2 linked regions of the Oreochromis niloticus genome follow. The protein of the gene in region 1 interacts with the protein of each later gene in a pairwise test. Links are inferred from orthologs where the notes say so. Each region holds a gene or a part of one and is shown on either strand. Other genes may lie near its edges. The genes, in order: eif3g and mif4gdb.

The links.
Region 2: the proteins of eif3g (region 1) and mif4gdb interact in binary tests that used the Homo sapiens proteins (3 or more experiments, as listed by UniProt). The link is inferred for Oreochromis niloticus from reciprocal best matches to the Homo sapiens genes EIF3G and MIF4GD.

The regions. Positions count from the first base shown.
Region 1 is NC_031969.2:23,963,663-23,979,028, forward strand, and holds eif3g (eukaryotic translation initiation factor 3 subunit G), read left to right. Parts: upstream 1-7,876; 5' UTR 7,877-7,994; coding exon 7,995-8,017; intron 8,018-8,099; coding exon 8,100-8,146; intron 8,147-8,718; coding exon 8,719-8,807; intron 8,808-9,902; coding exon 9,903-9,962; intron 9,963-10,059; coding exon 10,060-10,164; intron 10,165-10,282; coding exon 10,283-10,478; intron 10,479-10,590; coding exon 10,591-10,701; intron 10,702-11,298; coding exon 11,299-11,435; intron 11,436-11,753; coding exon 11,754-11,860; intron 11,861-11,945; coding exon 11,946-11,961; 3' UTR 11,962-12,053; downstream 12,054-15,366. Other genes in the region: ppan (suppressor of SWI4 1 homolog), read left to right, coding at 297-311, 612-782, 895-996, 1,278-1,328, 1,534-1,704, 1,924-2,000, 2,329-2,436, 2,556-2,679 and 5 more. UniProt on the Homo sapiens protein: RNA-binding component of the eukaryotic translation initiation factor 3 (eIF-3) complex, which is required for several steps in the initiation of protein synthesis.
Region 2 is NC_031969.2:17,395,732-17,411,932, reverse strand, and holds mif4gdb (MIF4G domain-containing protein B), read left to right. Parts: upstream 1-10,201; 5' UTR 10,202-10,354; intron 10,355-10,929; 5' UTR 10,930-10,969; coding exon 10,970-11,048; intron 11,049-11,133; coding exon 11,134-11,243; intron 11,244-11,340; coding exon 11,341-11,496; intron 11,497-12,023; coding exon 12,024-12,116; intron 12,117-13,097; coding exon 13,098-13,325; 3' UTR 13,326-14,655; downstream 14,656-16,201. Other genes in the region: cytoplasmic phosphatidylinositol transfer protein 1, read left to right, coding at 897-1,052, 1,660-1,723, 3,204-3,514; slc25a19 (mitochondrial thiamine pyrophosphate carrier), read right to left, coding at 6,004-6,219, 6,308-6,438, 6,525-6,705, 7,787-7,957, 8,057-8,212, 8,479-8,610; mrps7 (small ribosomal subunit protein uS7m), read right to left, coding at 14,914-15,135, 15,562-15,729, 15,822-15,885, 15,975-16,166. UniProt on the Homo sapiens protein: Functions in replication-dependent translation of histone mRNAs which differ from other eukaryotic mRNAs in that they do not end with a poly-A tail but a stem-loop. May participate in circularizing those mRNAs specifically enhancing their translation.

The sequences.
Region 1 (15,366 bases):
GTGTACGGCCATCCAGCGGTTACTATGAGGAACTGCAATTTTTAAAAAAACAAAGTAGCGGCTAGGAACTATCGAAGAAACGAGAAATACGGACGTATTAGCCTGTGACACACACTGGAAAAGCAGTAGAGCCATGTGGGTGGCGTCACGTTGACTTAAGTTTGGACTCACTGTTGATTAATATCGTCAAAAATGAGCACGATCGTTCTTGGTAGCTTAAGTATAGTATAGCGATAGTTTTTGTGAGTGTGTTTTTTTTCCCCATTACATTTGTGAGCTCTGTTTCGAGCTGAATTATGGGGAAATCAAAGGTAAGTACCGGCCTGTGCTAAAAGGTTAGCCGATGTGGATTGAAATGCTGCTATTAAAGAGGGTATTTAATCATTGTTAGTTTGCTAAAAACCAAACTGTTACTTTTATTAAATGGAAACCTTGTTGGCGAGTTGTAGTTAGCGATGAGTATGAAAATGTGTGTAGTTAGTAAAGCTAGTTGTGTCGTGAGACCCTTTCACGTTAGCAGTCTTTTCACCAAACTTAAAGCTAACGTGAGACCAGCAACAGTCCGAAAATCATTGGTCCCTTTACTAATATGTGTTTATCACCCTCAACAGACCCGGAATCAGAAGAAATCCCGATTACAGGCCAACCATGAGGCTGAGCAGACTTACTTGGCTGTGCCCCACACTTTGGTGTTCCACCGGGGCCAGGTTGGAAAAAACGTGGGTCAGCTCATCATCGATATCCGGAAAGTCATGGAACCCTACACCGCAGTCTCTCTCAAGGTCCCTTCTTTGAGTTCTTTAGGCAACTTTTGTATTGATTTATTCATATTTTATTTCTGCGGACTGTGCGTGAAATCGTTTTACTTTTTTTACAAAAAAAACCAAACAACAGGTTAGGAAGAAGAATGTGCTCAAAGACTTTGTTGCCATAGCAGGACCACTGGGAGTGACGCACTTCAACATCTTCAGCAAAACACCCACCAGTATCAACATGGTAAGATGACCTTAGAGTATTGATTGATTGACTGAGGCCTATAATTTACCTCTAAATGTGCTTGGTGTCAGAGCTAAAGTAGTTAAGTCATTTGAAAATATCGAAATATTAGATACAGACCTTTTAAATTTGTACATTTTATATTGTTTATATTAAAAAGCACCTGACTTCCTGTCACATCAAGTTGAGAATCCTTATATTCAACTGTAAACAAATGCATTTGCAACTGTATGTGAAATCCGTGCCTCTGTTAATCAAATCAAACATTCTTCTTCTCACAGAAAGTTGCTCGTCTTCCCAAAGGTCCCATGCTTCATTTCCAGGTCACCAAGGTAAATAATTTAAACTGTGCATACCAAATAAAACTAAATCAAATGAGTCATGGGTTCAGATGATGACATTTTAAAATGTGATTAATAAATGATGTTTTTCAAAGTAAACGCACTGATGTGCCCAAAGTACCAAAGTTGCGATTTCTTTCTTGATTGTCTTTTTCCTACTTTTACAAAGTTGTTGTTTTTTTTGTTTGTTTTTCAGTACTGTCTTATCAAAGATGTCGTTTCATCTCTGAAGAAGCACAGGATGCACGAGGAGCAGTTCAAATATCATCCGCTGCTCATCCTCAATAACTTTGGACAAGATGGCATGCATATCAAACTCATGGCCACCATGTTCCAAAACATGTTTCCTTCCATAAATGTGCACAAGGTGTGTTTTACCACTAAAGCTGCTGCAATATTTTTTTCCTTGGGTGACTCGAGGTTTACAACCTCACTGATATGATGAAAGTATAGTCTTCTGAGTTTATGTGAAGATTTATCAAAAGTAAACGCTTTCTGATCTCTCTGTTGATCCATTCAGCGTTCTGAGAGACTAAACCTGACTGCCACTGAAGAGAAATGTTTTGTTCTGTTTCTTGTGTTTTAGATAAGCCTCAACACCATCAAGAGGTGTGTCCTGTTAAGCTACAATTCCGAGTCCGAGGAAATTGAATTTCGACATTAGTAAGTAAAAACTGGCTATTCTTTATCATTTTAAGTTGCTTGTAAGCATCAGGTCACAACGCTTTGAATCTATACATCTGCACGCACATCACAGATGACGCGCTGTTTAGAAATGTACACAAAACTAGTTCCAGTTACTTAAACTTACGTTCAACAACAATCCTGTGAAATTTGGGCTCAGATGATGACAGACCTTGACTTGACTGTTCAGTGATCTATGTCCAAAGTAAACGCACTGATGAGCCCCCACAGGATAAAAGCATTTTTTTGTTAGTCTGTTTACTGATTACACATTGAAATTGACCAATATGTTGTTCCCACCCTGCAGCAGCCTGAAGGTTGTCCCTGTGGGAGTGAGCCGTGGAGTCAAAAAGCTGATGCAGGAGAGGTTCCCCAATATGAACAAGTTTGAGGATATCAGTGAGCTGCTGATGAAGTAAGGTTCTTTTGAAGGTACAATTGCTGTATCCTCCAGGATAAAAAGGGGCTCGGATTTGTAGCTGTTGGTGAGCTGGAGTTTTGTCTAATGAAAATGTTCTTCGTAACCGTTCTCAGGGGGGCAAACCTCTCAGAAAGTGAAGCTGAGCAAGATGAGGAGCACAACGTTACTGAACTTCCACAGGTCTACTCTGGAAGAGGCAACATGGCGTCCCAGCAGAGTGCCGTCCGCTTGACCGAAGTGCGTATGCACACAGTTGATTTTTTTTTCCTAAATAGTGTTTGAGTGGTGCTGAAAATTGCATTGTGCTGTTCTCAGATTGGTCCTCGCATGACTCTGCGGTTAATGAAGATTCAAGAAGGGATGGGCGAGGGGAACGTCATATATCACTCCATGAGTAAGCGCAGCCTTTTCCTAATTTATTCCTTAGCATGTGCAGGGGTGTACATGATGAAAAAAACAGTATGAATTCTATGATTTCTCTCTTTAAAAAAAGTAAACGCTTACTGATACACCCTGAACTTTCAGAATTTTATTTATCGTTTGGGAGGTGGCAAAATCTGTTCTTAACCAGGAATTATTTGTACAATCCTTGTAGTCTCCAAGACGGAAGAAGAAATCCAGGAGATCCTGAAGAGGAAGGAGGCAAAGATAAAAGAGAAGGAGGAACGCCGGAAAAAGCAGGAGCAGAACATCGCTCAGAAGACAGAGAAAAAAGAAGAGCACAGGTGATTTGGCTTTCAAATGTTTTGACCTTTTGTTTTGTATCCATTTTTTTATGCGGTTTAGAAGGAACGGTGTCTCCTTGATTTTCACAGGAAAAAGAGCCTGGAAGGCATTAAGAAGAAACGTGCCGAAGCTGAAGAGGACAGTGAGGTGGAGGATCCAGGAGCTCAGGACGGTCAGGAAGCTGATGCCGAGTCTGATGATGAGGCAGAGTACTACAGACAGGCCGTAGGAGAGGAGCCAGAAGAAGGTGACTTGCTAATTTACTTAACTCTCTTAGTTCACTGGGGTCTTTTTAAGTATTAACAGATGTTTTCCATGTAGGCATGTTTCCAAGTGGAAAGAAGAAGAGGAGGAGTTCAGAAAAATCTCATGGACCTGCCAAGAAGAGGAAGTTGTCCCCTGGTCAGTCTTTAAAAGACAGAGGTTCCAAATCACCAGGAGGACAGCATAGAAACCAAACAGGGAAAAAACAACAGAAAGGAGGATGGAAGAAATCCAGGGATGGGGAAAAATCATTTGGGAAGAAAATGAAGCCAACAGGAAAGGCTTTTGGAGCAAAGAGAGCTGGAGAGCAGGATAAATTTGGTGGGAAAAAGAAGAGAAATGGGGACAGACCATTCAAGTCTAAAAGTCAGAAAGGCAAGATGGGCTTTAATAAGAGTGCAGGAGGAAGAAAGCAAGGCTTCAAACAGAGGAAGGGAAAAGGCTGACCTTCAGTACTTCCCTTTAAACTGGACTTGGAGAAATTTTCTGTTTCCAACAGGAAACATGGAAAAGTTATTTAACTGGCGAATGCTTTATCTGCAAGTGATGCCTGTGAGAGTTTCCTGTTAGCGTTTATATTTGTCACCAGAAAACCGACCTCTTTCTGTCATGCAAAGATCTTTGAATTTCAAACTGTATTTGTTCTGTAAATAAACTGACTCTCAGTTTGTCTCTTTTTAATTGATCTTTTGTTTTTCAAGTAACTGTAAAGGGTTACAAAGCTGGAAGAAAGCAGTCAGCAACTCTTGGTATCTCTTCCTGAGCTGCTGTCCTAGCGTGTTGACATGGAAACACTGTTATAGATGAGGGAAAGCTAAATTAAAAATAACTGCATTACATGAGCTCATTTTGATACCAGTTTAAAATGAAGTGAAATATTAAGACTTTTAAAGAAAAAAATCAAATGTCACCTATTGTTTTTGACACGTTCTTGAAAGGAAAACATGTTGATCTTTCTGAAAATAAAGTATGACAAATGATAAGATTCAAATGTTTAACGATCATAAAAATAAACTGACCTTTAATAGTCCTTTTTACTATATTTAATAACTGCTATGACACATTTTCTAAGCTTAAATTTACAGTTCTGAACATTTGATATCGCAAGATATTGACGTGAAATTCAGAGCTGCATTGAAGATAAGAAAAAGGGAAGTGGTGTATTGACAGTCATAGCCAAACTTGTAATAATAATCAAAGCAGCTCCTGCAGTGCATGTTGGCCCAGCACCTCAAAAGTACAATGTTGGCTCGTTTTTTAAAATTCCTGGTCAGCAATTGACTTTTTGTTTTTACTGTATGTGATATGGAATAGACTACATTTGTTATAATTTATAAAAAAAAAAAAAAAAAAGATCCTCCCAAAATTAGACTAATGGCAGATGAAGGGAAAGAATTTTTCAAAAGAACAAATATGGATGCCCACACAGCTTTGCTACAACATGCCTAATCTGTCCTGTGACTAATTATTACAGATGCTTGACATTGGTGTAGCGCTTTTCCTTCTTCAAGTTGTGAAATAAAGACAAAGGGTATGAGGAAGTTGCCTCTATGGTCATGCGTGCGTTCCGCTTCTCGCTCACTTCTATCATTGACAGAGATAAGAATGGTACTTGAGAAGCGTTTCACATTTTTCCTACCTATCACACAGGAATTAACTTTCAAGTCATAAGGCACTATTCGTCACCCTTGCGGTAAGAGAAAAAAAGAATTCATTACTAAATATAATCTCTGTTTTAGCTGTAACGCTTTTAAACTTTTAGATAGTGAAAAGCAGTTTCTATAAATAGCTTCAATAACTTCCTTTTCTACAAAAATATAAATTTCTGCCCTAATAATTGTTGTTTTATTAGATAATGAAATTTAATGCATCAATATGCTTTGATTTGCAGGGCTTGGACAGTTCTAACAGTGTACCTAAAAGCAAATTAAAAGCATGCCGTCTAACTTCTCTGAATGTGAGAAGTTTCAAACAGGCGCCCTGCCTGTGGTGTATGGGGTTGAGTTTGTCGTGGCTCTGGCTGGAAATATGTTCGCCCTGTGGCTGCTGGTAGTCAAAGAAAGAAGAAACTGGCACACCGGTGTTGTTCTGTCATGCAACTTGGCCATCAGCGACCTGCTGTACGTCCTCACCCTGCCTTTGTTGATCGTCTACTACTCGAAGGACAAGCACTGGATGTTCGGCGACGCTGTGTGCAAGTTGGAAAAGTTTCTTTTCACATGCAACTTATATGTGAGCATCTTCTTCATCATGGCGATAAGCGTGAATCGATGCGTGGCCCTCGCTTGTCCATTTTTCACCCGCTCCTATATAACGCCTGGCCACGCCAAGGTCACCAGTATAATCATATGGGTCATCGTTGGAGTCATTTCCAGTCCGGTGTTGAAATTTGCCTCTGTTTGCTCTAATGCTACTAATGACAAAATTCAGTGTGTGTCCTTCTGCAACGAGACTGAACGCCCTCACTACGTTTACAAGTTTTTTCTCTCTGTGTTTGGGTGTCTGGTTCCCTTCCTGGTTACTTTCACTTCTTACTGTGTGGTGATTTGGGTAGTTTGGAAGAATGTCAGCATAACCCCTCTTGAGAAACGTAAAGTCGCCCTGTTAGTCGCATCAGTGCTTGTGCTGTATGCCATTTCTTTCATGCCTTATCATTTCTTTCAGATTTATCACTTGTATCTAAGATTGTTGCATCCAGACAACACTGTCTGTTGGATCTATGATATGTACCAAGCGTCAAAGGGACTGGCAACTGTAAACATGTGTATCCATCCGGTCCTTTACATGGCTGTGTTTGACAGTATGAGAGTAGCGTGTTGTGGAAAAAGCCCAGAAGACAACATCGGTGGGTGATGAGCTGCTGCTCTTTTTGTGGTTTTTGTCTACAGTCTAACCCATGCAATGCATATAGCACTTGCTCGGCTTTCTTGTAGCTATCTTATTTCGAAGTGTTAATAGTCTGCATTATGACTTTTCAAACAGTTTCTGTATTAAAAACTTTTTGCTTTGTCGTGCATCTAAAAAACTTTCATTATCTTTCTTTTATTTCCTGTTGGCCTAGTTTAGCAATAAAAATTATACTGAATTTGTTATTTTGCTTCCAAGGAGCCAGCTTTTCTTATATTTTTAAGTGCTCCTGAGCAATAGTTCTCTATGGTTTCTTCGTACAGGTCTTTGTGTTTTTTCACAAATATTTTCAGTCCAGTCCTTGCATCTGATCACATCACCTGAAAAACATTTTGTTTGTGTGTTTGTTTGTTTAACCATTTTATACTGACATATGCATCATTCAAGCATTAAAAAAGTCCTCTATCCCAAAAGATGAACCAGTGTTGTCTACGCATAACAGACAACATAGCAAAGAACCAATTTTTAAATGTATCTTTTAATTTTTGTTACTAGGAGCTTCTCAGAAAAATATTTTAACTTATTCAAATTACTTTAGTTGAATCTATAAAAATTGCCAAAGGTAAATAAAATATTTTTTGCATCAACAACATATATTCCTAACGAGATATTACTCAAGTGCAGTGTGTCCTTCAAAAAATCTGAGGAAACTGAACAAGTGCAGAACAAAAGAAGAAGTGATGGGTCTGAAAAAATCAAGCTGTGTATGGCAAATGATCAGTCCTGACACAGGACCTGAGAGATGCATCTGGCCCTTGAGCAGATCTGACATTTATTTTTGACCTATGCATCTCAGACTTTTTGGTTGTCTGCAGGAGAGACTGCACCAAATTGGACAAGAAACCAACCTTTTTTAAAATGCTTTACTACAATTGACCACATGTTAAATCAAGTCAACATACCAGCATCTAAAGCTGACCGACCATCATCCTCTTCTCAATGACACGTTTTGGAAACAGTGATAGACCCCAAGACCCTTACAACCACTTAGCACAATTACAGACGTCTACCACTTGAGTGAGACAGGCTGCAGTGGTGCAACCTCTGTCCAAAGGATTTGTAAAGGTGCAAATTCCAGAAATACATTATGTTCCTTGACTTGAATGCAAACCAACAGTGCTTTGCAAAATATGCTAGAAATAAACGTTTTCTAATGCCCCAACATTTGCTCTTGAGAGTGCTTCTTTTCTACTATCAAACATGTGAGGAAGGTTTGAAAGAATCCAGAATATTATTTAATTTTCACTAATCTGGTTTTGTGTAGTAGAGGCCCCTTTAAAAATGTAGTTGTTTGAATTGAAAAATAAAGATCCTTGTTATTGTTGCCCTTAAAAAACCTTTTAAATTAAATTTCATGTTCATGTAAATTGCATGTTAGTGTCTTTGTTTGTTTGTTTTTTTTAACCCCTCAGATCTCAGATATTGCTTTCTGATTTAAACCTAAATTACATTTGCGTAAAGTTTTCCAGATTATTATCAACCCCGATTTTTAATTTGGTTTGGTTTTGGACAAGAAGTTCTGCACTCTTATTTTGAAGCCAAAAAAAAAAAAGGATTACACTATACTTTTATTGTGAAGTGGGTAGGAAGTGCCTACAGTAGCGACGCCGCTCGACTCATACTGCTCCGGTCCTAAAGGGAAGCTAGCAGTGAGGATGCCGTCGATTGAATACGACGAGTAAGTTCTGTTTGTTTCATTTCATACTGTGAAGTCTTTATTGAGCTCAAAATAACGTTGCATTTTCGTATCTGTCTTTCAGCTCCAAGCCCAGCTGGGCTGATCAAGTTGAAGAGGAAGGAGATGAAGGTAAAGAGCCTATTATGAGCTTTAGCTAATGCTAACACATCTGCTGTAGTCCAGTGATTCAAGAAGGAGGCCGGCTAGGCGGTTTCCACTTCCACGTGGTTGTTAGGCGTAAACGTAGAGTTAAAAATGCGTTTACCTGAGACATGTGGGGTGTCTAATTATGTAAAAGCTGGAGTGATATATTTGTGTGACTGACATGGATGGACGATTTATTGATGAAAAGAGTTACCGACATATGCTGAGGCCTGTAACAGTGACGTAGGCAGGGTCTCTCGGTACTAACATGAGTGCAGCTAGCAGCTAGCAGGCTGCGCTAGCACCACAGCTGTGTTAGAAGTAGGATTTCAGCGCCACAGGTAATTAAAAGTTAATAAGTGTCTTATCGCAAATAAGAGCACCTGGGTGTGAAATCCAATTCAGAACTGGATATTTGATCAAAAGATGAGCCTTCATGGTGCTTTCATTGAGAATTTGATTGAATACGAGGGAAACGAAGCTCTTCAGAAACAAGGCATGAAAAACGATCGTTTTTCTAGCAGTTTCAAGGACTAAACTGAATGTTTTCTTCACAGGCACACTGCCATCCCCCAAGGAGACCATCAAAGGAAATATTAAAACTGTCACGGAATATAAAATAGACGATGATGGAAAGAAGTACAAGGTAATAAAACGTTTATTATGTCGTTTTTATAAGACTCATTATACAAAGTCTTATCTTGATTATATTTAAACTGTGAAAAATGCATCTATCATTGCATTTGTAGACCAATAGAGTTATAAGAATGGATGCAGTGATTGCATTACTTTTGTTAAGGTGATATAGATACTGTCTCTAGTGCTGTAGGACAAGTAGTTTTTTCTCCCACTCAGTGATCCTTTGCTAAGCATGCATGTCTCCCATGTAGTAATTGCAGTCTAAAACAGGGCTCTGGAGGAGCATGAAAAATGGCTGCACAAAAAAGTGCAGGAAATACGGTGGTTACTGATATAACTGCAGTTCTGTAACTGAGTGTGATAAGGTTTATCATCGATTGTGTAAGGTTATCAGGCTTTAGTCTGTGGTGTCTCCACCTCTGAAACCCTGTGGTACATGATGGGTTGTACAATTTATTTTAAGCATTAGAACTTCATAAGCTATGAGTAATATATGTTAAAACCCATTCTTGTTTTTTCTTTCTAAATTTACAAACTTCTCAATTGACACGTTATACAGCAAAGCTACAGGTGTAGTCATTAATTGGTTTGTATATCAGGTTATTTCATTCTTTGAAAATTAATATTTCTTTTATTGATACCAGATGCCCTCTAGAGGTCATAGTTTCATCTGAAATCTTTGAGTAACACTGACTGCATTTTTCAAGATTTGTATACATTTTATTAGAGGTGCATTAGTTCAGGGTGGCTGCGGTAAAGTAGGTCATCTACTAACTGGAAGGTTGGTTGTTCGGTTCCTTGCTGCTCCAGTCTGCATGCCAAACTATGCTTGGGCAAGACACTGAACCTGATGCTTTCATTGAAGTGTTAATGTTAGATAGAAAGCAAAGTAGAAAAAAATGCTCGTGTTAATTGGTGAATGAGACATGTTGCATAAAGCCTGAGTAGAGTAGATGACTGCTAAATGAGAACCAGTCCTTTTAACATAACCTTCATAAATATTTTCACTTGGTGTATAAAAAGAGACTTGTTTGTAATATTATTATTTAATATTAATATCGATTTACTTGCTGTTAATTTTGTTTGTTTGTTTGTCCTCTAGATTGTGCGAACCTTTAAGATTGAGACAAGGAAAGCCTCAAAAGCTGTTGCCAGAAGAAAGGTCTGTCTTTAAATTAAATAAAAGTAAACCTTTTTCCACTTTATCCATGAACAAAATGGTAAACTCAGTGTCAAACATTATCCTGCACTCATTTCAGAACTGGAAGAAATTTGGTAACTCCGAGTATGATGCACCAGGCCCTAATGTTGCCACCACTACCGTCAGCGATGATGTCTTCATGACTTTCATCTCCAGCAAAGAGGTGCGAGTCTTGCTTTTTTTGCATTGTTGCTTTTGTATGGTGTTCTAATTAAAAAAGAAAAAAGTTAACTATGGTGTAGCTTTGCCTTTTTATTTGATATATCTTTTTCATTTTGTAGGACTTAAACGCTCAAGACCAGGATGAAGATCCGATGAACAAACTGAAAGGACAGAAGATCGTGTCTTGTCGTATTTGCAAAGGTGATCACTGGACTACACGCTGTCCGTACAAGGACACCCTGGGCCCAATGCAGAAGGAGCTGGCTGAACAGCTCGGGCTTTCTACTGGAGACAAAGAGAAGGCTGCTGGTTCAGGTATCATGAACATACCATTCATAGAGTCAAATCTTTGCTGTCAGATGTTCTGTTGCAGTTTGGTGTTCCTAAAGTTATCATGACTAATGTTGCATGCTATTCCTCTCACCAGCGGAGCCAGAGCCTGCACAGCCTGCACAGAGCAAGACCGGGAAGTATGTTCCTCCGAGCCTGAGGGATGGAGGCACCAGAAGAGGGGAGTCCATGCAGCCTAACCGCAGAGGTGGGTGCACATTGTTGTCTGCTTATACTATACATACCCGTTACTCTTTGAGAAATTGCCATAGGCGTTATAAAACATGGATGTAACTTCCAGATCAGAAAAATGAAGCCAGTGCAGCAACGCAGCCATCTGGTGGCTTTCTATTGTGTTGCCACCAGATGGCGATAGAAATGCAGGGTTTCAAAAAGACTTCCAGTCCTATAGAAGTTTAGAGGGAAAGGCTTTCTTAGATTATGGGCTCTCACTTATTTTCAGTCATACTGAATAAATTATTATTATTATTATTTTTTTTTTTTTAACTTTTTTGCAAGTTTTGGTAATGCTATGTTTCAAAAAGGAAGATGAAATTGCATGCTCGATGACTAATGAGTTGTCAGTCACAAGACATTACACTGACCTTGCACTGTTACAGTCACACCCAGCCTCCCTAATTGCGTCCAGTTTTTGCAACCGAGGTGGCAACAGTGGAAATGCTAAACTTCAAGGCTTCAAAACAGATCTTTAGAAACCAGTGGATGATGTAATGGTAGTGTCTTTGATAATGCCTGCACAGCCTCAAGTATTGTTCAATAGAAACACTATGTTTGTTTTTGACAGCTGATGACAATGCTACCATTCGTGTCACCAACCTGTCTGAGGACACCCGTGAGACAGACCTGCAGGAGCTCTTCAGACCATTTGGCTCAATCTCAAGGATCTATTTGGCCAAGGACAAGAACACGGGACAGTCGAAGGTCAGTTATAAAGCGAGCATTTGATTTAATAAAGTGTCAGCAACAATTTCTTAACAAACCTCTTTCCAAGACGGTGTAGCTGGTAAATTGACTACAGTGTTTAGTTTTCTGTTTGTAAGAAAATACACAAACATGTTGTCCGTCAAGTGTTCCGGTGAAAGTGAAAATTGAGTGGTTGGCTTTATTGTTGTCGTTTTTGTATTATTTTTTTAAGTATCAGCTGCTGAGTTTGGGTGTGTTTTGTTCTCCTTTTTTTTAAACTGTTGACATTGAACTGAAACTGAGCATGGTTCAGTAATCTCATCCTGTTTCCAACAGGGATTTGCCTTTATCAGTTTCCACCGTCGGGAGGATGCAGCAAGAGCCATTGCGGGAGTGTCAGGATTTGGATATGATCATCTTATTCTCAATGTTGAATGGGCCAAGTGAGTTCAGTCTGTCAGTTTTGTCAATGTACTTATCATAATGTTGTGTAATCTTGTTGCTGACTAAATTTCACTCTCTTTGCAGACCGTCAAACAACTGAGGAATTCAGTGTAAATCCCAGGAAGATTCCATATTTTATTGTCATGGTAAAATATGGCTGTTACCATAATAAAGAGAGTAGTTGTAAATGTCTTTGTCATTATTTCTTTTCTTTAATGCATTTTCTGTCTAGGCTTTTATCCTGATTTAAACCTTTACGTCTTCGACATTTGACAAACACTACATACATTGATTTTCTTGATTTGGAGACGTAAATAGAAAAGAGGAAAGAAGTTCATCACAAAATCATAACTGGCAAAAGTGTTAGCTGGCTTTACAAGACCTAAAGACTGGACAGAGATAATGACCATCATGACACTTATTATCAACTTTATTTTTGATTTAATGTGTGCACACTTGTAAAACTGGATTTCAGATCCAAAATAAATTGAGAAAAGACAACATGTGGCAAGTGAGCAATGCTGCAAAAAGTTACTAATCTTGTTTTCAGGAGATCATACCTGAAAACTAGTGTGCATTAGTGAGGACATACTAATACTGATAATGTACAGTACTAATACTACACGGTGAATCTCTGTGGTCTCGACAAATGAAGCCTATATTTGAAAAGAGAGACTTTATTGTCTAATTATAATGGTGTCAAAAAAGCAAAACACTAAAACATTGAAAGAAGGAAAAACTACAGACATCATAGTTGATAACAATAATCATGTTTCCATAAAAACTTAATCAAAAAATGTATGGATTCAAATTGCTAAAACAAAACATGCTATTTGAGCTTTACTAGTGCTCATGTTTTTAATACATTTAAGAATGTAGCTGTGAAACTTTGAGGATTCAAACTTGGCACAGAGCAAATTTTTTGGCTTTGAAAATACATTCTCTCTCAGCTTTTATATTTGTAATAAATCACTCCCAAAATACCAATAACAGCAAGTACAGTGATCACAATCCCAACAATGGTCCCAGAACCAATACCTAAAGAAAAAAAAGTTCATAGATGATAAAATATAACAAGATGGGAAATGTAGTGAATTAACTGATGAGAACTTACCTGGAGGTTTGTTGACTGTGAAGTATTTGGTCACAGTGCCCTGGGTGTTTGAGGCGGTGCAGGTATAGACCCCTGGAAACTCAAATGGTCGAGTCACAATAGGATGATTCACATCTTGATTCTTGTACGTCTCTTGTGTTGCTTCTGGGAATTGCCAGTGGTATGATGGCACAGGGTTTCCTGTAGCATTGCAATTTAAAGTCATTTTTTCACCAGCTGAAAGTTCAAGTGTCTCATTTAAAGGATCGATGAAGGCTGGTGGGTCTGAGGACATATGTGAAATCAAAATACAGACAGAGAGAAAAAAAATTGAAAATACAATAAATCTTGTGACAATTAAATTAATCTTTTTAAAAAAAACTTACATACAGTCCCTTTGTGTGACTTTGAAATGCAGCAAACAAAATTAAAATCAAGAAAGTATAAAAAGATAAGAAATGTAACGAGTTAACTGATAAGGGGTTAGATGGAGATTCGCTGACTGAAGTATTTGGTCACAGTGCCCTGTGTGTTTGAGGCATAGCAGGTATAGATTCCTGGAAACTTAAATGGTCGAGTCAAAACAGAATGATTCACATTTTGATTCTTGTACGTCTCTTGTGCTGCTTGTGAGAATTGCCAGTGGTATGATGGCACAGGGTTTCCTGTAGCATTGCAACTTAAAGTCATGTTTTTACCAGCTGGAAGGTCCAGTGTCTCATTTGTAGCGCTTATACGGTTGATGGGTCTGAGGACATATGTGAAATCAAATTGCACACAGAAAAACTTCTAAAAGATGAAAATACAATAAGAAATATTTTGTTGGTCGCATTAAGATCATGTTAAAAACTCACAGAGTACAGTCAGAGTATGCGCCTCTGAACGCACTGGAGGAGGACCTTGTTCCTCTGGCCACAAGTTCAGCTTTGCTTCACACCAGATCTCAGCTCCATCATCATCTCTATGAGCAGTCAGAGTGAGGACAGATGACTTACTGACGTTAGATGGACTGGAGTCATTAAATGTCTCAGATTTCATGATATAATTTCCTTTGTGCCAAAGCACAGAGAGATGTCTTGCTGGTGCAACATTAACAACGTCACACTGTATGGCAAACTGTTGGCCTTCTTTCACTGTACTTAAATTCTTCAAAGACACACTGTCTGGCATTTCTGTAACAAAAAGGGATAAAAATTAATTGATGTTATTTTCATGTTATTCAGTGAATACTAACAATGGCATGCTCAGATAAAGTTAAGGCTACTTACTATAAACAGTGACCTGTAACACTTCTGTACACTGATCACCATCACGGTAATTCACATAACATATTGGTCCTATCTCCCACTCTGGCACAGAGTCAATTTTAAAGGGAAGAGAAGTGACACCCTGGGTAGGGTCCACTCCTCCATATGGAGACTCCCATCCCATTCCTTCAATCTGGTCAGATGATGAAGTGCAGTTGGCTGATAAGGAGTCTCCAAATTTCACCACAACTCTAGGAGGGCTAAGTTCTAATAGACAGGCAGCGTTCACCGGCTTTCCTAGAATGATACAGGAAAGCTTAACGTAGGCATATAGTCAAACAGAATCTTAAAAAAACGAACTATCAAATATGCATAAGCTGGTAATGTTTTACTGCGAACAGTGGCTAACAGACCTGGAGCAGCAAGATTTACTGTTGCAAAAGCCTTGAGGAGGATACTAAATGTCCAATGTGATGAATAAACCCACATTAAATGATATAAATAACATTATCAAGGATCGGTATAGGAGACTCCTCAATATTTGTTTGGGTTTGAGATCTCCTACTTGCAAACTAAATTGGGCGAGGTTAATCTAATTCAGTTTCGATTCATTTTTATATAAATCAAAACAACAGTCACCTTTCCGATCTCCCCCTTATTTATATGAGGCTTAAAAAAAAACCTCTCATGACACTGCTAAAAATAAAATGTGGCCAGTCTCTATAGAATATCTTTGAGAAATACTAACATGACTGGTAGCTATACGTCTTGTTTCAGGTTGTTGTGGGTTCACACTAGATGATGTTTGGGCTTTGGGAAGGCCACTCTAAAACCTTAATGAGACATTTTCAAGCAACTTTTTAGTGGGAGAAACGTTTCGTCACTCATCCAAGTGACTTCTTCAGTCTCAGCTGACTGCAGGTTTTCCCAATCTTATAAACAGTACATTGCATAATGACTGAAACCAGCCCACTGAAGGAACAATGGGATGGGAGGTCAGTTCCTTGATCATCATCCCTTTAACTAAGTTAGAATTTAACAGACACTGTGTATTTCTGATAGCTTTGTTGGTACACCTGCTGTCATAAGAGTCAATTCCAGCGATACAGAGCTGTCTGAGTTGAGAAGTCTTTGAGTGCACAGCGTCTTGTAGGCAGTGGCGGTC
Region 2 (16,201 bases), about 6.6 Mb from region 1:
CGTTTGTATGAGCATGGCACAGTCTGGCCTTGGGTGAGTTTGCTGCATCGTCCGCTCCTGGGAGGACTGTGGCAATGCTCCAGACCTGCAAACTGCCAAAAACCTCTGTTTTCATAGAGATCCTCACACTTGCTGGTGATTTGACTGGATGCAGCATATATGATGCAGTATATAGAATCAAACTGCTTGCAGCCAGAGGATTTGCTCCCTGCTGGTCACCAGAAAGAAATCATATTTAAAGCACTTTGACTTTGGCTTCACTTTTTAGACCTTCTTGAAATACAATCTACAGTTAACGAAACTTGTTCAGCAAAACCAGGAGGAAAAGTAAGTGAAGTAAAATATCTTTTGGAGAGATATTTGCTTATTAAAAAATGTGCTTAAAAGCGATTAATCTCTCATTAGCATTTCTCATCTTTCCGTCTCTCAATACACTTGATGAAACATTTTATACGCAGACAAATATAACAGACGTCTTCCACCTCCTCTACAAGTACTTTCCCAGCAGGGATAGAGACACTCTGTCACACTCGGATGCATGACTCTAAGACAAATGAGCATCACAGCATAATTAGTCCACTGGGAGCAGTGATTAATGCGTGTAAAGTTTCTGAGACTCCCACTGTGCTTCTTAGCTACACCCTGCATTAGCCTCATAAATAAAAGCAGATGATCCTGTCCTGTAGGCAAAGAGGAGGAAATTGATGTGTGTGAGAGAGATTAGATGGCAGGAAGTATAGTTTTAATTTTAAGTATTGGTTGGAAAACAGTTCAACAAATTTTCCGTATCATCTTATGTAAATTTTTTGAGGATTATCGACATAAGATTGTTTTTTATTTAACTCCTGGGGGAAAATGAGTTGTTTTTCTGAAGCTGGTGTCTTGTGGCCTTGTAGGACCTTCGGTATTTTAAGTCAAAGAAGACGAATCGGGGGCTTCTGCAGGAAGGATGGCTCGACACCCAGGACCCCATCATGTGCTCCTACAAACTGGTCACTGTCAAATTTGAAGTCTGGGGCCTGCAAACCCGTGTGGAGCAGTTTGTACACAAGGTCAGGACAAACCATTTTTGGGGGCAAGAGACACGTTGTGGATGAGTTTCAGCCTGCTTATATCATCGTCTGAGCCAGAGGCGTCCCATTTTCTGCTCTGAAAACATGTGATACACGGCTGTGAGCCAAATCAGCAGTTCCATTATCACCTTCCACAATATCTGCCCTGTTCACATCCCACAGCCTGCCTTGCAGCACCACCTCCCTTTTACTTGGCTGCAGAGTTTAAACTTTGTATCTCTCATTTCCCAAATCCATTTTGCTACAGCATCTGTCCCTCGGGTCAGCTGTCCCTGCACTATCCTTGCCCAAGGCGCCCACACACACACACACACACACACACACAAATTGGAGGCAGGTTCATTACTCACAGGCTAACACCAGGAGTGTCCCACATAAATCATAATCCTCTAGGGGTGAACAGAAAATTTTTGAAGTGAGAAATGAAGTGAAACTCTCGGTATCCTTTAGAGTGAATGCAGTCTGATTTACAGTTTCTCTCCTTGAACTTCCTCCCTGCCTCTGTCCCTGTATGAATTCATTTTCCTGTGATCTTGCCTCCTTTGCTTCCCTTTTCTCTCTTTTTATTTTTTGTAATCTTCCTCAGGTGATCCGAGACGTGCTGCTTTTAGGACACAGGCAGGCCTTTGCCTGGGTGGATGAGTGGATTGGTAAGTGCGCAGGAGATGACAGTCTTTAGAAAACTTGGGTTATTTTCATGTCCAGGCACTGACTTATCTCACGAATGCACCCACTTCACATAAATTATTCCATTTTAAGGTGGAGATCAAAGACTGTATGCAAAGGATGGACATAGCTAGCATGATATTATCAATTTGTTTATTAATTTCATCAACTTTTAGCATTGTGACCATCTCCATCTGGTGTTTTTGGAGTTTGAAATATTTGGATATATTTGTCATATTTGGACATGAGCATAGCGTGCTAAGTTATCAACTAAATGCTAGCAAGCTCTTTTTAGCAGGGTGTATGCATGGGTACCGTGCACAGGAACAGATACCTGATAATAATTCTAAATAGGATAAATACTAGAATCTCCACCACCGAAAACAGAGAAAAGACTTCCTGAATGGCCTGTTATGTTCCACACACTAGATGGGTGACTCCAATTAGCTGTAGTGTCACCTCTGCTAATTGGTTATGCCACATCCTACCTCCTCCTACAGAAGTGCAGCTGGTTTGGGTATTTTAGAAACTATATTTTGGAAACTTGGATTTTTCATCTTGTTAATATCAGAGGTTAGAAGAGAGTGCCCAGACAGTTTTTATAGGAAGACAGCATTAACTCAATTTCTCTTTATAGTTAAAGTAAGAAGAACAGCATCTCTGACTGTGCAACATGTCAAACCGTAGAGCAGATGAACAACAGCAAAAGACCACAGCTGTGACTACTGTCAGCTAAGAACGGGAAACTGAGAGTACAGTTTTCTCCTGACACGTCTTTCCCTTGAAGCAGTTAGTTGTAAGACCTTGAGAAACCTGTGTGCAACTCCACTAATATTTCCGCATTTGCAGCCTCACCACATTAAATAAATCTGCAAAGTCCCATTTCCAAAAAAACTCGAGATGCTGTGTACACTGAAAATACAAAGAACGCAATCACTTGTAAATCTTAAACTCGTATTTTATTCACTGTAGAACACAGAAACCATATCAAATGTACCAAAGTAAGAAAAACATTAGCTCATTTTGAATCTGATGGCAGCAACACGTCTCAAAACAGTTGGGACAGGGCCCTGTTTACTGCTGTGTAGCATCCTCTCTTTTTTAACCATGAACATCTGGGAACTTAAGGATACGAGCTGCTTGATTTTCTAGCTTCTCAACAGTCCTGGGTCTTCTTAGCTCCATTTCATATTTCATGATGGGCCAAATGGTTTTAAGAGGTGAAAGGTCTGAACCGCAGGCAGGCCAGTTCAGCACCCCACTTCTACTACTACTAAGCTCTGTTGTGAAACACATCTATTTAAATATTTGGTGTGCTTTCTATGTTTTATTGTTAATAAAGTATGGGTTTATTAGAATTGCAGATCACTGTGCTTATATCACATAAAAACTGCATTCAAATCTAATAAAAACAATTCTAAAGATTCCTTGTCTCTCTTATATGTCACTGCTCCAACCCAACAGACATGACCATGGATGAAGTAAGAGAGTACGAGCGTGCCACACAGGAAGCCACCAACCTGAAGATTGGCACTTTCCCCCCTACCATTTCCATCTCAGAGAACCCCCTGCCATCTAGCACCCGCAGCGGACCCAACAGCGCCCCGTCCACTCCCCTCTCCACCGAAGCCCCTGATTTCCTGTCAGTGCCCAAAGAGCGACCCCGGAAGAAATCAGCTCCAGAGACCTTGACCCTGCCTGATCCAGGCCGCAGGGATTCACTCTTCAAGCTTCCAAGCTTTTTCTCCTGGAACTCCAGTCCGCAACCAGAATGAGAGCGGGGCTAAGCCGCTGTTAAACACCCCTGACCTGCGTATTAGTGGAGGATGCCTACCCAGCACATCCTGCAATGTTCCCTCAGCCATCTGAAGAAGAAGTGACTGTCCCGGTGATCCCAGCCCCTCAGCCGACTCGCCGGCGTTCCAGCAAAGCCAACAGCTCTCAGACTGCCTTTACAGGTACAGCTAGGCATCCACAGCAAGGCCCGCCAAGTGTAAAGGTGTAGTAAATCCCAGCGAGAGTCCAACAAAAGCACCTGCAGGCTCCTCATCCTTTACTTCTCCTTAGAAAACAGCCAGTCTGCACCTTTCATTAATCAGTATGGAGTCCAATTAGCCTGACTGAGTGTAGCATACATTCCTGAAATCGTTTTATCCCACAGAGTGTCACCTTGTTTTCATCCAAGCTCAGGGTGTGTTGGTGAAAAGATATCTAGAGACTCAGTGCACATAAACTTAACATTTGTTATCTGCTTTATCTTTAAACATCTCTGGCTTTGTTCATTTATTTGGTAACTGAATTATGTAGTTGGGACTCTTGTTGGCCACTGTAACAGTCGAGTATTATGGTTTTCACAGTCAGATGTAAGGTGATTGTGTATTCTTGTATATACTGTATGAAAAATATAAATGTGACTAATTCAAAAAGAATATCATATCAAGTGATGAAGCTGCTCTGACTGTAATGTGTCTCAGCAGCCATGAGGTCTTCATGAAACAGCATGATTCTTGACTACCGGGGCTGCCCTTAAATATTTGTGAACTGAATGTTTTCCTTATCTGAGCCTCATATGTGATGTCGTGTTTTACAGGAGTTTTTACAGACTTGGTAATGTGGTGTTGTTTTGCTGCTGTATTGACTTCATTGTGGTTTTATTGTGTTCATTTACTGTCATACTATTGATGGGTTTTGTATTCAGTACATTAAAGTAAATTCTGCTGCATCTGTTACTGTGTGAAGAGTTTGTTAATGTGATCTATCTGAATGGAAAGACAGTCGTGTGGCTCATTCAAATGCAACTTTGGAAACCAAGTCATGCTGTATAAATTAGAATTAGAATCAGAATACTTTATTGATCTCAGAGGAAATTTTGTGGCCAGATATGCTCCAAGACAGTAAGAACAGTAACTAACAAGTTGAATTAGCAGTATTAAATAAGACAATATATCGCAAAATAGCTCCAATATATAAATATCTCAACATATTACATGAAATTGTATATAGATGAAGTTGAAACTGAGTTCCCCTTCTTATCATACTGCAGATAATTTATCTGAATTTCAGGAGCAAGGCCCCACCTGCATACACACCGCTTTCTGATCTGTCTACATGCTCAACCTTTGCTACCTTTTTCAATTCATACACTTCTCATTAGTACAGGCAATCGCCTCTGAGGCCTTTCCCACCAAAGCAATATCTGCTAGAAACACTGTCAAACCTAAATGAGGATGTTGTCACAGCTAATGAACTCTTTGTTATTTTCCCTGTAGAGGATAAGCAGATATTAAGGAGGTGCAACTACTGCGCTGTGTACTTATGCTTTAGATGGAGGAATTGTAAGAGAGTAAGCAGTATGTGTGCATTTATGCAGGGAGTATGCATCCAACATGCTCACATTCAGTTATTTTATTTATTTTAAATATATAAACCCAGGTGTGAGCTCTTTGTCCTCACTTATTCATTTTTCATCATTTAGGGGGCATGTGATGAACCATGACCATGTACCAAACTTCAATACATAAACTGTTTTTTGGGGTTTTTTTAATCTTTAAAGGTGTCAAAAGGCGTACGATTCATACGCACACCTCTAGTGAACACTGTGTTCATCCTGGTCTACACATCACACACGCAAACACAATTCCTTAATCAAAACTTTATTGAAAAAATAATAACATCATAGTGTTCAGCAGACACATCGACACAACTGCTTTAACAGTTTAACGTAACACAACAAACTAACTGAACTCTCAGTTAGCAGTCCCTCCCATACCCAGTGCTGTTTTGTCCTCCATAGTATATAATGCAATAAATATTAAGTGCTTTTTTTTGTCTGTGCACAAAACCAACACACAATCCCAAAGCTAAAGCAAAATTTTGTTGTATTCTCTTCTTGCAACTTAATGAAGTCAAACAGTTTGTGTAAAATGACACAAAATGCTCAAAGTGTGTAAAGTTCAGTTTGAACATTCAATGCTAACAAGTATCCACAAACTTTTTTAAGCAAGTATCCACAAACCTTGAAATCCCACATTAAATTCATGTTTTTAAAAAAAAAAAAAAAATCCAGCTCTTTTACGACACACGCTCAAATGACATCACAAAAACAAACATAATGCAGTAATTTTTCTGTCCTGATATGTAAACACAACAGAAACAAATGATGATATTGACCCAGTTGACACATTTTTTCAGTGCAAGAAAATAACAAGGCATAAGTTAGTTTCCAATGTGCGTGATTTTGTGTGTTGCTTCCCCGCCCCCTTCATCATCTTTTGTTAAAGTCTTTGGTGATGACATTTGTTCCCCGTTTCTCCTTGAAGTTATGCATGGCGTTGAGGAAAAATTCATACCAAAAAAAGGTGAAGCCCGTTGAAAGCGCAGCTTTTACGAGACTGGGGGACAGGCCTTTGAAGAATCCTCGGAAGCCCTCCTCTTTGGCTATTTGAACCATGCAGTCGAGCAGACCTCTGTAGCTCCGCACCTGCACAGAACAGACAGAAGACAATGCTTCACCATCAAACCCAGAGCGCTTAATCAAATATGATGAAACATGCTGTTGAGGAGCTTACCTGTCCAAAGTGAGCTCTGGCTGCTTCAAAGCCCCCCACCTGCAGTCTCTTCTTGAACAGATCGAAGGGGTACGTGATTGTTTTGCTGATCATTCCAGCTCCACTCCCACAGACCAGACTTTTTAAGTTTCCTTGAACATGAACATAAAAAGTGACAGGATTTTAAACTCAACCCTGTGCATGTGTAAACGCTGCACAATTAAGAGTTTCCACTCACCTCCCGAGTTCCCAGCTTTGGGTCGTGGAGCCAACAACTTTTTAAAGATGTTGTAGAAGAAGAACTGCAGGCCAGCGTAAGGAAACACAGCCAAGAGCGTTGGTGACAGGCCACGGTAAAATGTTAGAGTTCCTTCTGATCGCCACATTGTAGACACAGCATGTCGCAGGTTCCTGTACACCTGGAAATATAAAACTGGGTTTCAGCAGTATACCGTGAGTGATTCTGCCTAAGGCAGGAATTAGAGAATATTTAACATGCTTTATGAATATTTCATCGTTGTAAGACTTGAAACGGCCTTCAATGCTGTTGGTAGTGTGGGAAACAAAAACCTGTGTCCAAATCCTCAAATATTTCTACATTCGCCTAATTAAACACATTTGGATATCTCTGTCCTCAACAGACAAGTGAGCAAAAATCAATACTGGATGCCCGGGATCATTTCGGGTCCTCGGGCGGCATGATTCTGTCATGGAAATCAGTGCATGGGCTCAGGAACACTTCCAGAAATCATTGCATGATCCACAAATGTAGGTTAGAGCTCCATCGTGCAAAGATAAAGTCATATGTAAATGCCACCTTCTTCTCTGAACCAAAGCTCATTTAAAATGGATTTTGGCAAAGTGGAAAACCTGTTCTCTGGACAGACTAATCAAAACGGTTTACTTTTTTTGGAAAATATTGACGCTGCATTCTGCAGACTAAAGAGCAGAGGCACCATCTGCGTTGTTATCAGAGCTCAGTTCACAAGTCTGCACCTCTGGTATGGCGGTGCGTTAGTGTCTCTGGAATTGCCACAACTGCGCCACTGATGCTGAAAAAATATATACAGGTTGTAGAGCGATATGTGTTTCCACTTAGGCAACGTCTTTTTCAGCGAAGGTCCTGCATACTTCAGCAAGACATATGCTAAACTAAATACTGCATCTATTTGTATGTAAAGGTTTTAGAACAACATATGCTCCCATCCATACAAAATCCAGCAGCTGGTCTCTTCAGTTCCCAGACAATTACAGCCTGAACAGCCTCTTACAAAGTGGTAAACAATATGTTATGAAATATGTTTCTGTTATCAAATTTAAAATGATTTAACATTTTTCTTTAAAATTTCTCAGCTTAAACACTTACTATATTTTCTGTACTCTTTAGTGAAAAAATGTGACTTTATAAGATGTGCAAGTCATTGCATTCTGTTTTTATTTACATTTTTCACAATTCTGTCAAACATTGACAGCGACAGGATCAGCAATGATTAGTCCCACCTTGGGTTCTCCCTGAGCTGCAAAGCGTGTCCGCAGTGTGTCCAGAGGCTGGCAAACCACTGTGGCAGAGCAGGCTGCCAAGCCGCCACAGACGAAATGAACGCCTGCTGTCTGGCTGTCATACGGCGTTTTCTCATGGACCAACTCTGTCAGAAACTCAAAACTCGCAAACTGCAAATTGGACACAATAAAAGCAACTGTGTTGTTGAGATTGTTTACAGTAATATAATTGTTCTGCTTAGCCTGCAGTTCACAGTTCACACTTTGTACCTGGACAGCTCCGTAGCAGATGGAGAGGAGCTGTGCCGGGATGTGGCCCTTCCAGAAAGCAGACAGTCCCTCCTCTGAATGAATGCGGCGTGTTGCCTGAAATATCCCATAGTACTTCCCCTCTGGTGTTTTTGAAGACACGCGCTCGATCTGCAGCTACAGGGGGGAAATACAGATAAGAACACAACACAACCTGCATCTATCAGGCTTCAAGAGTTGTGTGAAGAGATTAAGGTTTTTATTTCAAATACACTTTACTGTGTGAACAGTGTGGTACTGAATGCAAATGTTTGCACATGCTTTTAGTACAGTCACCAATTGAAATGTGCAGTTACTGAAGAAAATACTGAAGGTCATAGCTGCTACTTCACTGTAATCTTCAAAGTCAACATGAATTCTCACTTCTGTCCCAGAACAAGTACCTGAAATCTGATTTTAATGACGTCAAAAGGACTGATGAGGGCTCTGGTGACCATCCCGGCAGCTGAACCAGCGAAGGCCGCCTCCTCTGGGGACAGAGGTGCACTCTGGACACCAGGGTCATAGCCCACCATGTCTCTACAGCCTTAGGTTTCTAGAAACTCTAATGAAACAAATGACCAACCCTTTGTTCAGTTTAACACAGTTAAAAACAAACTTTAATTCAAGTTTAAATAGATAAAGATAATCTTAACTGCATCATGTTGGATGATAGGAGCTTGTTTTGTATGTATAATCTTAAGAACAGGTGTTTCAAAACTGTATTAAAGTGAGTATTTTGATATTTATAACAGCAGCTACATGCTAGATGTTATAAAACCTCCAGTTTGGTTTTGGGGGATGGACTTTGGAATAATACACAGTAATATATAACTCCTCTTTTCTATATACTTTTCAATGAAAATGAGAAATGGGTGCAGCAATTTACTGAAACATGCTAACATACATGGGAATGCAGTATATTTTCTGTAGATTTTTTTTTACTGTTCTAACAAGCTTGAAAGTCAATGTTTGGTATGACCACCTTTCTTATACATTACAGCCTGAAGTCTCTTAGAAAAGCTTTCTTGTAATTTCTTTAAGTAGTTTTCAGGAGAAGTTCCCCATCCATGTTTGGGATCACTGTCATTCTGAAAGCCTCCACCATGTTTTACAGATGGCTTTTCTCCTTGTCTCCCTTCCTTAAGCATGGCTTCTTGACATTCACCCTTACACTGAGACTATTTACAAGGAGACTTCAGTGAAAAGTTGATGGATCACCTGCAGGGCCAGTTGGATATCTCGTGCCCTGTGTCGGTCTTTCCTATTTCTTAAGGACATGGCTTTCATTTGCTACCCACCAGTCCAGTTTCCTCAAATGTTTTAAGGATACGCAACACTGGATGATAACTTAATTCGTGTGCCCTTTTATGCCTGAATGACTCATATGCTAGTGTTCAGTGGTTCAACAAACAAACAAAATTTTATAAGCCTTGAGGAATTATTGATAACACCACTGAAAAAATGTCAAGTATGTCTGCCTCCTCCGAAGTAAAATATAAAGAAACGAAACGTGGGGTGGCTCAAGACTTTTTCCCAGCAGCTGTTTCCTTGACATTACATTTACAGCTCCACCCATGTCATTCGACATTTGTTAGGTGTCTGTTAATGGCTCGTTTTCTTCCATGGTCACCATTTATATAATTATAACACAACCATAAAATGCCATAAAGACCAGAAAAGTTAAAAAGAAAAAAAAAACAGACATGTGGAGGACATATAATAAGACCTTGGAACTAGCTAAGCTAAGCTAAGATAAACTAAGAACAGAGCAGGGATTAACTTGACAATAATGGTAACAGAAGCAGACAAATATCACCGTACCTTCATAAATACCACATCAGCTCCAACGGTGAACCTCAACTAGTACAGTTCAAAATTAGTAGAACAGGAACAGGTTTCTACTACTTGCTAGCACGCTCCTAATATTACTGCCGGGTCGGAAGAGATTCTCCAAGACGAAATATCACGTCAAGATAAGTTCCTGCCTCACTGCACCGTGTCAAATTCAGCAAGCAACTACTTAAAACTCACATCCTCTTTTATTTAAGACATCTATAGCGTAGACAGGTGTCGAAAGTACAAGAATAAGGGCTTCGTTTACGTTAACTTTGGGTTAGGTGAAGACCATAGGGTCTGCGGCGAAGGAAAAGGAGAAAGGAGGGACTCATCTTTCTGTTGATACTTCATCTTCGAAAGGTTGGGGTTGCGTCGAGGAAAGGCTGCCTACCAGAGCATACCTCTACCTGAGCGTAGATGTGACGAATTGGCATTAAATAGGTATAATTGTCACATAATTATCCTCCATTTGTTGGTCAATTATTTAACCACCGTTTTCTTTCAGTTCGGGAAAGTATTTACCCGTTTGTACCTTTCAGCGGGCGGTTATAACGCAAGTGTAGGCTGGGTATTAAACTCCACTTTGATTCGTTAGCGTCAATGCTAGCCATTAACGTTTGGTTTCCACTACAGCTGTAACGGTTGTTGTTAATGTTGAAAACAAAGCTACCGTTAGACGAAATTTTACGTGTTCTTACACTAAACTAACGTTACCTAGTTGAATATGGAATATGGAAGTAACATTGGTGTGTCACATCACAAGTTGAAGATAACTTGGCTCGTGCTTGGTTGGGTGTTCGGTGAACTTTTTAGTTGACCTGGGTTGTATAATCCCCTCCATCCCTCAGTGAATGAGCTGCGGCCGGGGGCCAGCCAATTTGATGACTGTACAGGATTTTGCATGTATTGTGGTCACCAAAAGTGCCCGGATGTCTCCGGCTGTGGCCTTTTGATCTGTCTTTGAAAAGCTTATATTCTGCATGAAAACACCTGCAGTAACTGTCTGATTTCCACAGGTGACAGCCCTCCCGTGTAATTTGTTTACTTGCATCTGTAATGGAAAACTCTGCTGAAGACTACCGGATCCAGTCATTTGACCTGGACACGCAGAGGTTACTAAAAACAGCCTTGAAAGGTCAGCCTTTAACTTCTTCATGTGTGTCATTTTTGGACGCTGTTAAAAAAAAAAAAGCACTTAAACATAATGCTCTCTTTTTCAGATCCATCTCTGGTGAACCTGGAGAAAGTATCCAACATCATTGTGGATCAGTCTTTGAAGGACACCGTGTTCAGCAAAGAGGCTGGGCGTATTTGCTACACTATAGTGCAGGTCAGTAAGACCCAGCTATATATTGCATTCAGGCTCCCACTTTTTGTCCACCCTCCCACTGTTATCTGCCTGACACTTTGCTTGACACTTTCTGCAGGCTGAAGCCAAGCAGAACAATGGAAACGTGTTCAGGAGACACTTGTTGAACCGACTCCAGCAGGAGTTCAAAGAACGCGAGGAGATGAGGGCACGCTCTCTGCAGGAGTGGATGTGCTATGTCACGTTCATCTGCAACATCTTCGACTACCTCAAAGTAAGAGCCAGAGAGAGTTTTGAGTTTTAACATTTAGGAAGGGGAAACACAAAGCAGCTTTGTTAAATCACTCCGATTAAAAGTGGAACCTTTTCATTGCCCGTATTAAGAGGACATGCTGCTTTTTTTTCTTCTTCTGTGTCCACACTGCAGATGAACACCTCCTATAGCTGCATTTTTGGGGTCCTAATATGTTCACTGCAGCACATTTAAGTGTCCAGGAACAACCACTAAAATTTGAACAGATGCTAATTATGCTGCTTCTAAAATCTAGGTCATGTCTCATGTAGTAAGGGGTTTATTCATTGGCAGTGTAAAGATGAGCCTGAAAGGTGTGGTCCTAACACACTCAGGTTTCATCCATGCTTGGAGCCACTGGCATTTTAAACAGAGTGATCCTTATTGGAAGACTACTCAATCCTGGCTTTTGTGTAAGAGAAATCAGAGTCAAGGACTTACCACAGTTTCCTTTTCTGTTATGTTGATAATACTTAGCTGCTGTAAGGACTCCACACTGTGTTTCTTAGGTGAACAACATGCCGATGGTGGCCCTGGTTCATCCTGTGTACGACTGCCTGATGAGGTTGGCCAAACCAGACGCTCTAATGAATGAGGATGAGGTGAGGAAGATATCTGGAGAAAGTATTTATCAGTCATTTACATATAAGTGTAAAAGTGCTATAGTGGTTTTCAGGACTGATTGGGGGAGTGGGTTTGTTTTGTATAGTCAGTCGATATACCTCCTGTTCCACGGGGTGTTTTTGTCTGACTACAAATGCATATAAATCCCAAAAGGCCAATAAAAAAACTAAATCATCTCAATTGATTGCTGAAGCTTTCATAATTGCATTTTGGCCAATGAACTTCCACTTTTTTTCTGCATAGTAGAAGAGTCACCTTTCATTTTAAAGGTTAAAAAGACTTTAATAGCCATTTTTCTACAAAGTAGCCAAAGGGTTGTAATTTTGAGGAAGACCTCAGTCAGTTTTTGGCTCCACATTGTTGTGTACAAATGTTTACAAATATGTGTGTATAAAAAGAGAGATTATTTCATGACTTTTAACTTAATTTCAGTTGAATTTTAAATTCTATATAATACAGATACGTGGCAAAGGCATACTTTTTAGTTCTTAATTTATGCTACCACGCTTGTGTGCGTATTTGCCTATGAAGCGCCTACACAGAAGATTTTCAACCACTGCAAATGTGCACCCATGCCATCCTCCAGCATCCTAACTGCACATTGTTTGACATGGATGACACTGTGTTGATTAGTTGAAAAGTGGGCCAGAGAAGCACAAAAAACCCCATCAAAGATAAAAAAAAAAAAAATGCAGTATGAGAAACACAGGCAATGGCCTCTTTTAGTTTTACTTCAGCTCTTTGTAGGCTTCAACTTCACTCTTCTCTGTGGCTGGGTGGTGACCAATAACAGCACATGTAAGTGTAGTCCACAGATCTGTTGTAGCACATAATATTTATACTGCCCACATCTGGGCAGTCCATAGCTGCCGACAGTTTACCCTAACTACCGCAAAACCATAATCTCCCCTTTAGTGTGACGTTCGTTTTTACTGAGGCGTCTCCACCTTTCTCCACAGGTGGACTGTCTGGTGGTGCAGCTGCATCGCATCGGAGAGCAGCTGGAGAAGGCGGACAGCCAGCGGATGAATGACCTGTTCTTCCTCCTGCGGGACGGCTTTCTGCTCCAGGAGAGCCTCACGTCCATGGCCCGCCTGCTGCTGCTGGAGATCCTGGAATTCAGGGCCGGAGGTTGGATGCTCAGCAGCACCGCTCACAAGTACTACTACAGTGAAATAGCTGACTAGGACTCAAGGAGCAGGGCGCTGAGCACTAGAGCCTTCAAGCACCTTGGACACCTCTCAAGCGCCACTGATTACAAAACCAGCTTTTTGAGGATAGATAGCAATATCTTCCAGGCAATCTGAGGAGGAGTTTGAGAAGATGGTGATTTCTCTAAAAAGACTGATTCAATGTTCCTGAAGCGTGCTGTGGAATGTGCAATAGGTCATGCGGAGCTGAAGTTGAGTTAACGAGGTTTGACCACATTCAGGTTCACTTTGTCTTTGTTTCAAAGACATTTGTGTTCAGGTTTGATGCAGCTAGAGGAGCTGAGGCAACTTTTTTTTTTACATTTTTAATCATTCTAGCATTCCTGTTTTGAGAGAATATTCTAACCTTAGTTTGTTTACCAAATCCAAATGACATTCCAGTCAGATGAAACCTGATTTGATTATTTTGATATTTTAGTGTAAAATTTAAATTTTGAAAAGGTTTTAAATTGCGGTGGGAAGAGTTTCTGCCTACTTTGTTCTGTAAAACTCCTGTTAGTGATCAGTTTGGCAGAGTCTTAATTCAGGGATTTATTTTATTTTTTGTTACTAACAGCAGACCAAGCGATTGGTTAAACCGCTTTTCTGCAGAAACATCACTCAGATTCCTTGATATAAAATATTTGTTAAACAAGCTGCGTCAATGTAACGTGAATACCATCACATGGTACCAACGACTCCATAAAGACTGACATGTTTATTTTTACCTTAAGAAGCTGAGGGCAGAGTGTTTTCTCCTCCTTTATCAGAGCTCCTTTTGCAGGTCAGTTACGATTGCAAAGCTCATAAAAAAGTGTTTTTTCAAAACGATTTAACTTCTCTTTACACCAGCAACACTACATTTGATAGTCCACCATGGCTTTCAGGAGTTTCCTCAGGCACAGGTGCCCTGCTGTTAAAATATTTCATCTTTCAAATGTGGTCGTTTTCATAACCACGATCTGTAGAATGTATGTTGAAATTTGACTTTAAGGCAGTCTGACAATGATAAAAACAAAGAAGTTACTTAAAAGCCGCTCACAGATGCACTGAAGTATTTTGTCTCCTAAAATAATTTTCTTTGTTAGTGTAGGGATTTAAATTTCAGCTGTTGTTTTTTTTTCTTACAGATTCTTGGGTCAAATCAACAAAACCAAGAAAAAAATAAGTTTGTGTGTTAAACTGCAATGAGTCAAAGAAGGACTTAACCAAATCCCTTAATGACTCCACAGACCTGACTGTAACATGAATCTATTTTTTACTACACTTTCCATTTTTTCTTTTTTATGATTGGGTTGTGCATTAAATGAAAGTTTGTTCTAATAAATCTTTGTAAGTTTGTATTTTTTGCGTTTATTATTGCAAATACAACACACTTGTACACAGTACAGCTTCCTTAATACAAAAGTGACAGTAAGCCATGTTCAGTTCTTCTTTATACACGCTTCATCTCTCTGACAGCATTTTACAGTCCATATGATTTTCACGTCTCAGCACTTTGAGCGGCTGCAGCTCTTTGCAGCCGACCTGACTTCTGTCCAGTCTGTTAGTCATCAGATTTCAGTCGACGCCATTGCGCTGCTTTCTACCACCAGCGGTAGTGAGCATAGGCTCTGTTGGCTTCAGCCATCTTGTGCAGCTCATACTTCTTCTTGATCACGTTGCCCTCTTTGCCAAAGGCCGCCAGCAGCTCCTGGGAGAGTTTTTCATACATGTGCGTGCGTCGGTGTTTGTTGTCCTGGCACTCTGTGATCATCCACTTCATTGCGAGGAAGCGCCGCCTGTTGTCCGTGAGTGGAATGGGCACCTGGGTGAGGTCAGAGGCCAAGAGGAATGCAATTACTCGCCTTTATGCTTTGCGGATATAAGATCAGCAAATGTGTCTAAAAACCAAACCACAAAGACAAACTGTGCGTTCCATTTTTAAAGTGTGGAAGCTTTCGAAAAGCATCTTTTGTCCTGTCTCCCTCCTCTCATCAGTTATGGCAGATGACTGCCTCTCCCTGATGCCAAATCAGCTGGAGATTTCTTCCTGTTAAAGGGGAGTTTTCCTTCCCACTGTCACCAAATACTTTCTCATAAGGGTCATGTGACTGTTGGGCTTTTCTCTATATTATTGTAGTCTTTATGTTGCCTCAAGGCAACTTGTGACTTGGCTCTATATAAATAAAACTGAATTGAATCTTATTTTTCTGAGTTTTCTGTGCAGGCAATGGTGTGTGTCATTACTGACCTGGTAGTACTTTCCACCTTTCTGTATGCTGGCTAGCCCAACGACAGGCTTGCAGTTCTCCAGAGCCTGATGGAAGATGGTGTAGGGGTTACACTCGATCACTTCCCTCTCCCCCTCAGAAGCTTTGTGATACTTCTCCACCTGCTTCTTCTTTATGTTCTCCAGCGTCTAAACACAAGACAAACAGTAGTTATCTATTTACCGTTTATTTAGACTGCTGTTGACATGTCTGGTATTTATTATTAAATTGTTTTTTTTACCTGTGTCATTATCTCTCTAGCCAAAACCTTGTTTCCATGTTCCATCATCATGTTGATGAATTTACTGAAAAACAAAGACAAAAATCATCACCTGACATGAACGTTCCTATGCACACATCTTTCCTGTTGTTGTGAGCTGAGATGTGAGTCTACCTGATGACTGGGTCATCAAAAACAGAGCTTGTGACTCCGCTGGTGGCTGCCTTGATGGGCCTGAGGGCCTTGAGCTCGCGTTGTTCCTTCTCCTCGGCACTCAGCTCCGTCTCTGGTCGGCTGTAGGCCTCCTTGCTGACTTCAGGCTCCAGATAATAAGGGTTGTATCTGCTCCATCTCACCAGGAACACACTGAAAACAAATAACAGGACGGAGTTTCACAAAGT